Linked DNA regions of Schizosaccharomyces pombe. The protein of the gene in region 2 interacts with the protein of the main gene of each other region in a pairwise test. Each region holds a gene or a part of one and is shown on either strand. Other genes may lie near its edges. The genes, in order: inv2 and hsf1.

The links.
Region 1: the proteins of hsf1 (region 2) and inv2 interact in a two-hybrid assay, tested with the Schizosaccharomyces pombe proteins (one large-scale study listed by BioGRID).

What each region holds. Positions count from the first base shown.
Region 1 is NC_003424.3:3,383,745-3,388,757, reverse strand, and holds inv2 (beta-fructofuranosidase), read right to left. Parts: upstream 2,820-5,013; 5' UTR 2,712-2,819; coding exon 1,185-2,711; 3' UTR 539-1,184; downstream 1-538. Other genes in the region: sec17 (alpha SNAP), read right to left, coding at 1-282, 324-441, 485-517; 14-3-3 protein Rad24, read right to left, coding at 3,271-4,013, 4,421-4,490.
Region 2 is NC_003424.3:5,057,448-5,062,651, reverse strand, and holds hsf1 (DNA-binding transcription factor Hsf1), read right to left. Parts: upstream 3,398-5,204; 5' UTR 3,178-3,397; coding exon 2,850-3,177; exon of another isoform or gene 2,839-2,849; intron 2,694-2,838; exon of another isoform or gene 2,508-2,693; coding exon 1,006-2,507; 3' UTR 596-1,005; downstream 1-595. Other genes in the region: SPOM_SPAC2E12.03C (vacuolar basic amino acid transmembrane transporter), read left to right, coding at 1-454; Set3 complex SANT/Myb domain subunit Snt1, read right to left, coding at 3,959-5,204. UniProt on the Schizosaccharomyces pombe protein: DNA-binding protein that specifically binds heat shock promoter elements (HSE) and activates transcription. Also required for growth at normal temperatures.

The DNA.
Region 1 (5,013 bases), 1.7 Mb from region 2:
ACCATTCTCCAGCATCTTCATAAGCTCCCAGGGCAGCCTTTGTGTCTTGGAGCTCTTGCTCAAAAATGTCTCCCAAGTCCATTTTGTAATTAGCAGCACGGCGGAAGTTACCACGTCTTGTAAACAACTCGATGGCAATTTGTAGTACACGAGCTGCTTCTGAAGGCTTTTCGCGTCGATAAGATTTAAAAGCTTCCACATAAGTACTTGCAGCGTCATCCTTATCATCCGTTTTCAATTGCATCTCAGCAGCCTTTTCAAAAGCATAACCTGCAGCAGATCCTACACACGTTAGTAATTGAAAAGTAAATCAAAATCATTACCTTGCTTTTGCAGTCTGTAACCATTAGCAGCGTCTAAGAATAATTCTGAAGCTTCATCGTATTTGTTTCCTCCTCCAAAAAGCGCAAAGCCACCAGTTCCTTGGGCCTTTTTGGCGGCCTAGAGATGTTAATCAACTATATTTCCGCAACTTCTTGCATACTTTTTGCATTAATTGATCAGGGTCTGCGATCATGGAAAGTATGGTTATTGGTACGTTGAACTCATGCTATGTGTTACTTATGGTGTTATATGCCTTTATTGATTAGGGTATTAAGTTATACTGTAAATACGACAGCAATCATATTTAAAAATATGTTTTTAGACTAACTAAATCTGTTTTCTTCAGTTCATCAATTTTTCTTTTTCACCTTGTCAACGGAGGATAGAATTGAAATTGGGAACTTTTTACTCAAGAATGGGAAAGCATAGGAGCAATTCGTAATAAAATGTTTCTTTTTTTTATAGTAATTTACAAGTCAGACTAACAAACATAGAGCTGTTAAAAATAAATATTTGGTATATACATCTCCAGTCGTGTTTAAAAACTTGGCGTCGGAATCGACGCAGAATAACGACAACTGTAAAGAAATGGAACGGAATCAAATTGTAACAAAAACAAAAACAGAAATAAACAACGAACAATAGTGGATAACGTGTGGATTTTTGGAAACTATATCTTATCCATTTAGATGAGAAATAGTTTGGAAGATGGGTATCGAAAATCCCGAGTAATTTTCGGAATTTACTAGCCACGTGTATTCATAACATACTTGGATTTTCATCAATACACAGTAGAAAATAAGAGAAAACGCTGACGGAAGAAACTGTATCGATTTCGTATTGCCTGATTCATTTGGAACCTAGGAATGCGGTCTGTTGTTTAATAATGGTTGCATGCCTGATTTAGCTAAAGAAGCTCCAGTCGGGACACGAAGGTAGTAATACTGCAATGGTTCATCTCCCTTAAAATAGTAGGCGTTTGTTAAGCACATTATTCCTCCTTGCAAATAAACTTCAATAATGGAGTGATCTACTACAGCTTCAATTTCCAATATATAATTATCTTCGTAAGAAGAGGGAGGAACAGAAGACGTACACCGTTCAGGATATAAAGGATATTTCCAACTAGACGAGCATACACCCCTTTCGACGTAGACGGCACCGTCGTGGAATCGGTATCCAAGTTCAAAATACTCCTTAGAGGTCTCAACATCTGGCGTGGTAGACCATGTCAAGCATAAAAACTCCATAGGGGATTCTAATACAATACTTTTCGGAATGGAAACGGCGAGGTAGAATACAGTGGCACTAGTCCAGACAGTAGGAAATTCACAGACACGGTTTAACAAAAGTGGAGCTGGTAGAGAATCTGGATAGTAAAGATGGTGAAGATTAACTGGACGTTGACGTAGCACAAGACCACGCGTTTCTTGATTGAGATGGGTGTAGCAAAGAGTAAGTTCTCGAGGAATAGTAAACATACCTCGATGTTTCATACGCATAGGAACATCGTTCGTATAGTTCCAGTTACTTGCCCAAGAGATGGAAATGACTCTTCCATCGGGTGCATTACCAAACGTTTGAGTGGCATAGCAATCGTGACCGCAATCCAAAATTCTGGACGCGCTATCAATTGGAGTGAAGGTTTGACCATCAAAATCTCCAATAAAATATTGAACCATGCTACCCCCATTGATCGAAGAACCAGGATTAATGGAAACAATCAGTACCCATCGAAACTCGTCGGTACCCTCGATAGGGAGACGAACAAAGTCAGGGCATTCGTATTGGTATCCTAAAACGCCTGCAGAACCAAATTCCGAAAGTTTTACCCAATCGCGAAGGTTTAGGGAATGGTAAAACAGAACTTTGTATTTTTGAGCTAACACTACAACCATGATCCATGCTCTACTTTCTTCATGCCAAAACACTTTTGGGTCGCGGAACTGCGATTCCTTGATGTCGAGGATGGGATTCTTTTTGTATTTGATAAATGTGATACCTCCATCCAATGAGTAGGCAATGTTTTGAGTTTCACGATTATCATAATGCGTTGTATAAATCAACACAATTCTTTCTTCAGGGTCAACCGACTTTCTCGAAAAAAATCCACTTTCAAAAAAGCCTGATGAGTTGGTTTTATCGATCACTGCGCTTCCGCTAAACATTAATCCATGATCGTCTCCAGGTGCAAGGGCGGTAGGTAGTAATTTCCATTTATACAGGTTTTTACTCACTGCATGGCCCCAATGTTGATTACCGGCTTGGTTTCCTGTTGGATTCCATTGAAAAAACAAATGCCATTTTCCATTACTGTAAACCAGACCATTGGGATCATTCATAAATCCTTCTGGAGGCGTGAAATGTATGCATGGTCTCACAGGCATCGATTCAAATGTTTACTGTGCGTTTTATATGCAAACTTAAAGCTTTTATATTTAATAATGTTTGAGTATCACTAGAACATACAAATTTTTAAGCTTTGTGTAAAAAGTGGTACATCGGTCGTATGCAAGGAATATTAAGCAATTCGGTGCAAATCAGTCAAAAAGCTCAAATTCAATCCGATAGGCTTAAACATTCTCAATCTACCAACTCTTCAGTTTGAAACTCACATCTATCTAGACTATTGCTTGATTAACTCAACACCCACTTAGCCAAGCAAATCATTACGGGTTGTGTACTCGAAATTAAAATGTCGTCCAACTACTGTATTTTTTACAGCAGCTACCAAATACACACATATACTACGACTGTAAAAAAAAAAGAAATTTAAAGAAAGACAAAAAGAAAAAAAAATTAGAAGAAAATATACGAGAATGTAATGAGACTATTCCATCGTGTAGTACACAAGATCTAAACGAAAAAGAACTCTTAGACAAATAAATTTTTTAAAATTGGTTCATAGTAGTGAAAGTATGGCATCAATCATGAGCAACGAGCTATCTATGCGTCCGCCTTGGGCTCAGCTTCGCCTTCTGGAGCATTGGAAGGAGCGTTTTCTTGAGCTCCCTCGGTGTTACCACCAGCAGCGGCGGCACTGTATTCAGCATCAGAAGTCCATAAGGTAAGGTTGTCACGCAACAATTGCATGATTAAAGTAGAATCTTTGTAGGATTCCTCGGAAAGGCTGTCCAACTCGGAGATAGCTTCATCAAAGGCTTGCTTGGCTAAGTAGCAAGCACGGTCGGGGGAGTTCAAGATCTCATAGTAGAAAACGGAGAAATTAAGAGCAAGACCTAAGCGGATAGGATGAGTAGGTGCAAGTTCGGCGGTAGCAATTTCAGAAGCGGCCTTGTAACCTTCAAGAGATTGATCAGCGGAGTGTTGGCGCTTCTCACCAACGGCAAACTCAGCAAGGTAACGATAGTAGTCACCCTTCATCTTGTAGTAGAAAACCTTGGATTCGGCAGAGGCAGCATTAGGGATAAGGTGCTTCTCAAGAACGGTCAAGATATCTTGGCAAATAGTGTCAAGTTCTTGTTCAATCTTTTGACGATATTCCTTAATTAATTCAACTTGAGCAGTATTGCCTTTGCTCTCCTCCTTTTGCTCGATGGAGGAAACGATACGCCAAGACGCCCGGCGAGCTCCAATTACATTCTTATAAGCAACAGAGAGCAAGTTACGCTCTTCGACGGTCAATTCTTGATCAGTGGAGGCAACGCTTTTCATGTTTTCAACCATGCCTGGATATATTAGTGATAAGTACATAAGGATTTCGACTTTCGAGATGCGCAGCATGATGTATTTTCCGTATGTCTGTATGAACAAAAAAATTTCTTCTCGGAGTAAAAACAATTAGAAATAAAGTTAGGAAACAAGTTGAAATACTAAAACACCTTTTCAACATCACCATAGCCAATGCACAGTTCATTTGACAACCACCATACAACACACAAACACAAACATTCTACCAACTAAGCCTCTGATCACAACTATGTCAAAAATAAATGCAATCGATGTTTTACAGGAAGCCCGCTTACTCAAAAGCTTCCGCCGATAGAACCTTGGATGTGTGTAATTTTGTTCTTGCAGAAATAACACCAAATATATCTCTGCTCTACGCGTCTCTAAACCTTATAAAAGCACATACCTTCATAGCGCTCGGCTTGCTCAGCAAGTTTGGCTAAATAAACAGCATCTTCACGAGAAGTAGTAGACATTTTTACCAAACGTTCGAAAATGTGAGTATATCGTGGTGGTTGGCACTGGAAAGGTTGCGGAACGTCGTATGGTAGAAAAAGGACTGCTCCCACAGTAAAATTTCGTAGCACTGCGTAAACGTGCCCTGTGCTTCTGTATGTCGAATTTAGCGACTGCGCATCGTAATTTATCGGCACGACAGAAGGTTATCGAAAAACCTGGCTGCTGGACTGTTCTCGTTTGTTGCGACAAAGCCCCGGGGTAAACACATCCTTGGCAACGGATCAAGAGAAACTGTACCCCTTTTGTCATATTGACGCAAAAGGTAAACATCGAAAGGAAGGTGCCTGAACACGTGCAAATCTGCAGGCCTTCATAGAATCGGGAAATAAACTGGAACAAAGGTGATGACGAATTCTGTCTCACACGATATAATTGTTTGGTGGAAGTCAGATTGTCCAACGATTGCAATGAAAGGCGCTCAGCTTTTGTTAATTGATACATGCGATAGCAACTTCACATGACACTACTTAAACAAATTTG
Region 2 (5,204 bases):
TATTCGCAGACATGTTGAATGGCCTGTCGTATTTATGGGCGTCTTAGCTACTGTCTTGGTGAACATTGGGTTCTTACCTCAATATATCAGTATCTTTAGGGCTCGCGCTGTAACTGGCATTTCCTATCTATTTTTGGCCATTGATTCGTCGGGATCTCTGTTTTCCTTCCTTTCGCTTCCCTTTGATCGTTGGGATGTACTGGCAGCAGTCGATTATGGCCTTCTCTTCATTATAGAAATGGGCGTGTTTGTTCTAGCCTTTATATTTAATGTTTTATTGAAAAACAAAAGCACTCCTACCGACGAAGATGTCACTTTCACTGAAGAGGATGGGGACGAAAAAGATGAAGAATACAGCGACATCTTTAGTATTAAGGGAAAATTTAATACACGACCAAATGCCTGGCAAAATGCGTACGATTCCGACACTAAAAGCGCCATCCAAATCCCCTAGTTTACAAGCTTTAATCTACAAAACTGCTTATTATACTTCCATTAATTTTACCCCCGCTACAATCTAGTTTATGCGAATACGAGATGAAAGTACATGAGAATAATGCAAAGTGTTCGTTATATACCATGCATTTATAAATTATTTTAATGACATTCAAGAAATTCATAAATTAACATTAAAACCAACGCAACTAGTTCGTCGGATTATCGAATCCTTTTGCAATTGAAAGTACTAATAACCTTCTTAGCATAAAAGGACTTACCAATTTAAATATAATGGCATCATAAAGATGTATGTGTCGTACACCGTATAAACATTAGCTTGAAAATTCTAGATGGAAAGAAAAAAGAGAAACTGTTTGAATTATATAAAACTAAATGAAAATAAAAATACTCCATAAACTCATGCACACAAATCGTTAAGCAAATCCCCGAATTAACAGCTTCAGTAACGTTCTGCCCTTTTCTAAAAAATCGTAATGTCTATCCATCCGTCAACGTACATCTGAAGGCTGTAAAAATGGTAAAATCAAAAGAAAGCCCCACCCATTTTTATGCACCAATGCTTGATTTCCTCTTCTTTCTTACTTGTCTAGGGGAGGACACTGTCATTAAAGATGGATTAACTGATTTCTGCTGATTAGGCAAAGAAACGGGATTCGAACCAAACGTGTTCCCGTTGGATGCTTCAATGGGTGACGTTAGATTCGAAATATTTGTAAATTCATCAAAAACGGGATTTGAGTCCGGGAAAACATCCTCATTTGGAGGAATGTTTAATACGCTGTCAAGATCAGATGATACAGGCAAGTTCAAGTTGGTGGGTGAATTAGCAGAAAACCCAGCATCATCAATCTTTCCGTCACCCAGCGGGATACCTAAAATATCCGCCAACGCTTGTATATTCTGATCCTGCTTCGTAATTCCATCTGATAACTTAGAAATTCTTTTTTGATCCATGGCATAGCCTGGGTGGAAGTTTGTAAGTTGATCTTCTGCATTATAGGAACCGTAGGACGGATTCGAATTTGACATATAATCAACTGGTTGAACAGGTTGCAAATTAGTCGATTCCGACAAATTTCCAGAAGGTTGGGAATTTGACACCGATCCTCTGTAAGAGTTATGGTGCTGTTCAGAAGAAGTGTTGTTAACCGGATAAAGTGAATTGGGATAGTCGAAAAGAAGAGGTGACAGGGAATTCATATTCGATCCTTCAATACTATTGGCATCATCTAACATATTGATAATATCACCAGTGTTCACGACTTTAGGATCAGTGGTATCATCTCGATTTAATGAGGGTACATCCGTATTAGGTGATTGATTGGGAGAAATGTATGAGTCAATCGAATTGTTAAAGGAATCGGCAGATTCCTTTTTAAGTCCTGGCTCATTCGTATAGCTTTGAGAAATATAATCCTTCGGTGAATGCGAATCCGAATTAAAAGAAGAAACATAATTTAAAGCTCGTCCATTTTGAACGGATCTGTATTTGCCCTCTCCATCAGGAGTCGTATTGTGTAAAGAGGAGATACTAGCACTACTAGAATTAGCAGTAGTACCTTGAGGTGAAGGCCTTGAATGCGCAGACGGTTCATTCGTAGGTGAAACCGTAGGATATTTAGCTTCTAATAAGAGCCGACGACTTTTGGGCATAACTTTGCTAGGTGGCTTCTGTTTACCATCCAAATATACACTGGCAAGAAAACGAAGGATCTTATCAATCGTCTCTTGATGGCGACGTTGTCTCTCGCGATTTTCCATATTTTCCTGCCAAAGAGCTGCGTTATCGACTTGGATCCTACTGAGTTCGTTCGACAAATTCATCTGCTGGATGCGAATATTCTGTAGCTCAGAGGATATCGTAGACATGTCTAAACTGGTATTTGATTCTTCAACGGGTTGGCTACCGGCCTTTTTTCGCGTTACTAGGCATAGTAATTCAGGTTGGTCACGTTGAAAGTTTGGATTTGCAAACTCGAGAAGCTCGTTGGGACTATCGGATTGTAAAACACCTTGCTGTATATGAGGGACTTTATGAAAGCCGTACACTGTAAAAAGTTAGTAAACCAAAAAAAAAAAAAAATGAATGTAATAAAATGAGATGCGAAGGACAAGAAAAGATAGAAAAGGGCTTGACAAAGACTAATTAGATAAATAATCAATAATTCCGAAGTATTGCAATATTTTTCATATCGTCGAAAAGTGGAACGGAAGAACAATCGAAAGAGATAGTCGTTGTTAAGCTTACTGATCCAAAAGTTTTCCAAAGCCCGATATATCTTCGAATAAATGCAGACAAGTAGGGGGACACATTCATAATAAAAAAAATTAATTGTGTAAAAGCTTGTCTTCGACTTTTTGTTACACCTTCACTTTTTAAAGACACTTACTGTTTAATTGCCGAACAAAACTAGAAAAATTATTGTGCTTGAAATACCGTGGAAGAACCAGCTTAGCAAAATCTTCATGCCCTATAACCAAAAACGAATCACCCCGGTCGCTCCATCGAATTAAGGAATCTGTCGACGAGTCGTTCACCATATTGTACAGTTTATTACTAAACTGTGTGATTTTCCTATTTTGTGAAGAACCTGAGCCCGACATCCCTACGGACATCGAATTTTGTGTCCCATTCATCTCCGGTGAATTTGCGCTGCTGGACTCCATTCCCTGATTCGTTCCGCCATTGCTTGAAATTGTCGATGCAGTCTGAATCATTAAAAATCAATTTATTATGGGTGCCGTTAATTTAACAAAAATATATATGTCCGTTACTGATTTAAAGGAATTCTCAGTACCTTCTTCTCAACCACCAGGGAAGAATATGCAGTTCGTATTTCACAAGGTTCAATCAAGATATTCTTAAATAATGTATACTTTCTCAGTAGCTTTAACAAGCTCTCACCGAAATTTGAAGCGGGTGTCGTTGGTTGATGTCAAGTTATATTTTGCAATAATCCACTACCGAATGATTACAATACACCATATATCATTCACCGGGGTATATCGCTAATTTGTTTAGTGAGGTCATTTAGCCACTCGGTATTTATTTTTGGTGTCGGTTTTGCATGCAACAAAAAATGCAAAAAATTATTAAATCGAATAAATTGTTATGTGTCAATTACAGATTAACTTACTAACGCTACTAATTAAGCGTTTCCGTCGCCGAGACTAATAACTAGATTTCACATGAAGATTTATTGATTGAAAAAATTCGTCTCTTGATAGATTTCGTAAACGATCGGCAGTCAAGTTATTATAGAGTTTTTACTTTTTTAATAAAAACTCACCATCATAACCCGACACATATAGAACTCTCACATTAAAAGTAATAGAAAATATATACAAAAGAAAAAAAAAAAAGGATTAAAGTAGAATTCGAGATAAGTCGAGTAAGGCATCACGTAAGGAGGTACCAATTTGCGAATTAGAAAACAAAACCCCTTCATATAACAACAAATGGTAAATAACGCCATTAAATAACACTAAACGTCACAACTCATACAATTTTATCGTTTTTGGACTGGCGTTCAACAATGTCTTCGCCCAATGCTGCTAATGTATGAATTGATGCTCGTGGAAATGATTGACTATTCGGAAATGCGTTTATGTCTGATGTCGTATGAGATGAATGTGTTGTATGCTCTTGATCCTCGACTGATAACTCGTCTATGCGTTGACTTTTTGCATCTTCAGACACCATTTTCAGTATCTTTGATATTGACGGTGTAATGCAATCACTAGCTCGACGGCGATTTGGAGAATCAATTTCGGTCAATTGGAAAGTAGGGCGTGGCCGAGGACCAGTGGAGGCTCTTCTTGGAGTAAGAGGCATTTTCATTGGATTCATACCTTGGGCCAACGAAAATATTAACGCTTCTTCTTTTTCATCCCAACCAGGCAAGTGCCCTTGGTGAGCAGACTCATCAACGGCGGATATGGAACGACCAACGGCAGACAGGTTCGCTAGAGCCGAAGCTGCATCCTCCTCCTTCCTAGTTGAAATACTGTTACGCTTGGAAGAAGAATGTTGTTCAAGCTTTGGTTCATAGTAATCCTCCTGCTTTATGGTATCCTGGCTAATATCCATAGGCTCGTCCTGTGTCGGCGTTTTCTCATGAACGGATTCTTTGATTTGCAGTAATGTGTTATTCCCTTCATTTTCAGCTGTATCATAAACGTCAACATCATGTTTGAAACCAGACACAGTCTCGCTCTTATCGGTCATATCAATAGACATAGGGTCAGGCTCTTGAGCTCCTTTTTCAATTTCATAAGCACTATTCCCTTCAACCAAAGACTTTATTTTTTCATCCATTTGTTCATCAGCATTGTGATTATTAACATTCTCATTCGCAGATTCAACATTTTCAACAGAGGGCGTATTATCCCAAGTATTCATATTATCAGCAGTGACGGAAGCTTCTTGAAATTGATTATTGATATTCTCTTCCGTTTTATTAATATCCGCAGCTTCAATATCAACCATAAGAGCAGAACCCTTGGACTTTTTCTTTCCACCTCTTTGAGAAGGAAGGAGCTTTTTTCGCCGACGACCCTTAGTTTTTGTTGCAGATGCTACCAAAGCTCGATAGTCAGTTGTCCTTTTTGTCAGATAATAATGTAATACACATTCTTTAGAGTTTTTTCCTGGCACTGCCTCTGCGATTTTACCAAATTTTTTTCCATGTAAAATAAATTGCTGAACGAAAATGGAATGCTGTTCTTCATTCCATATGTCAGGC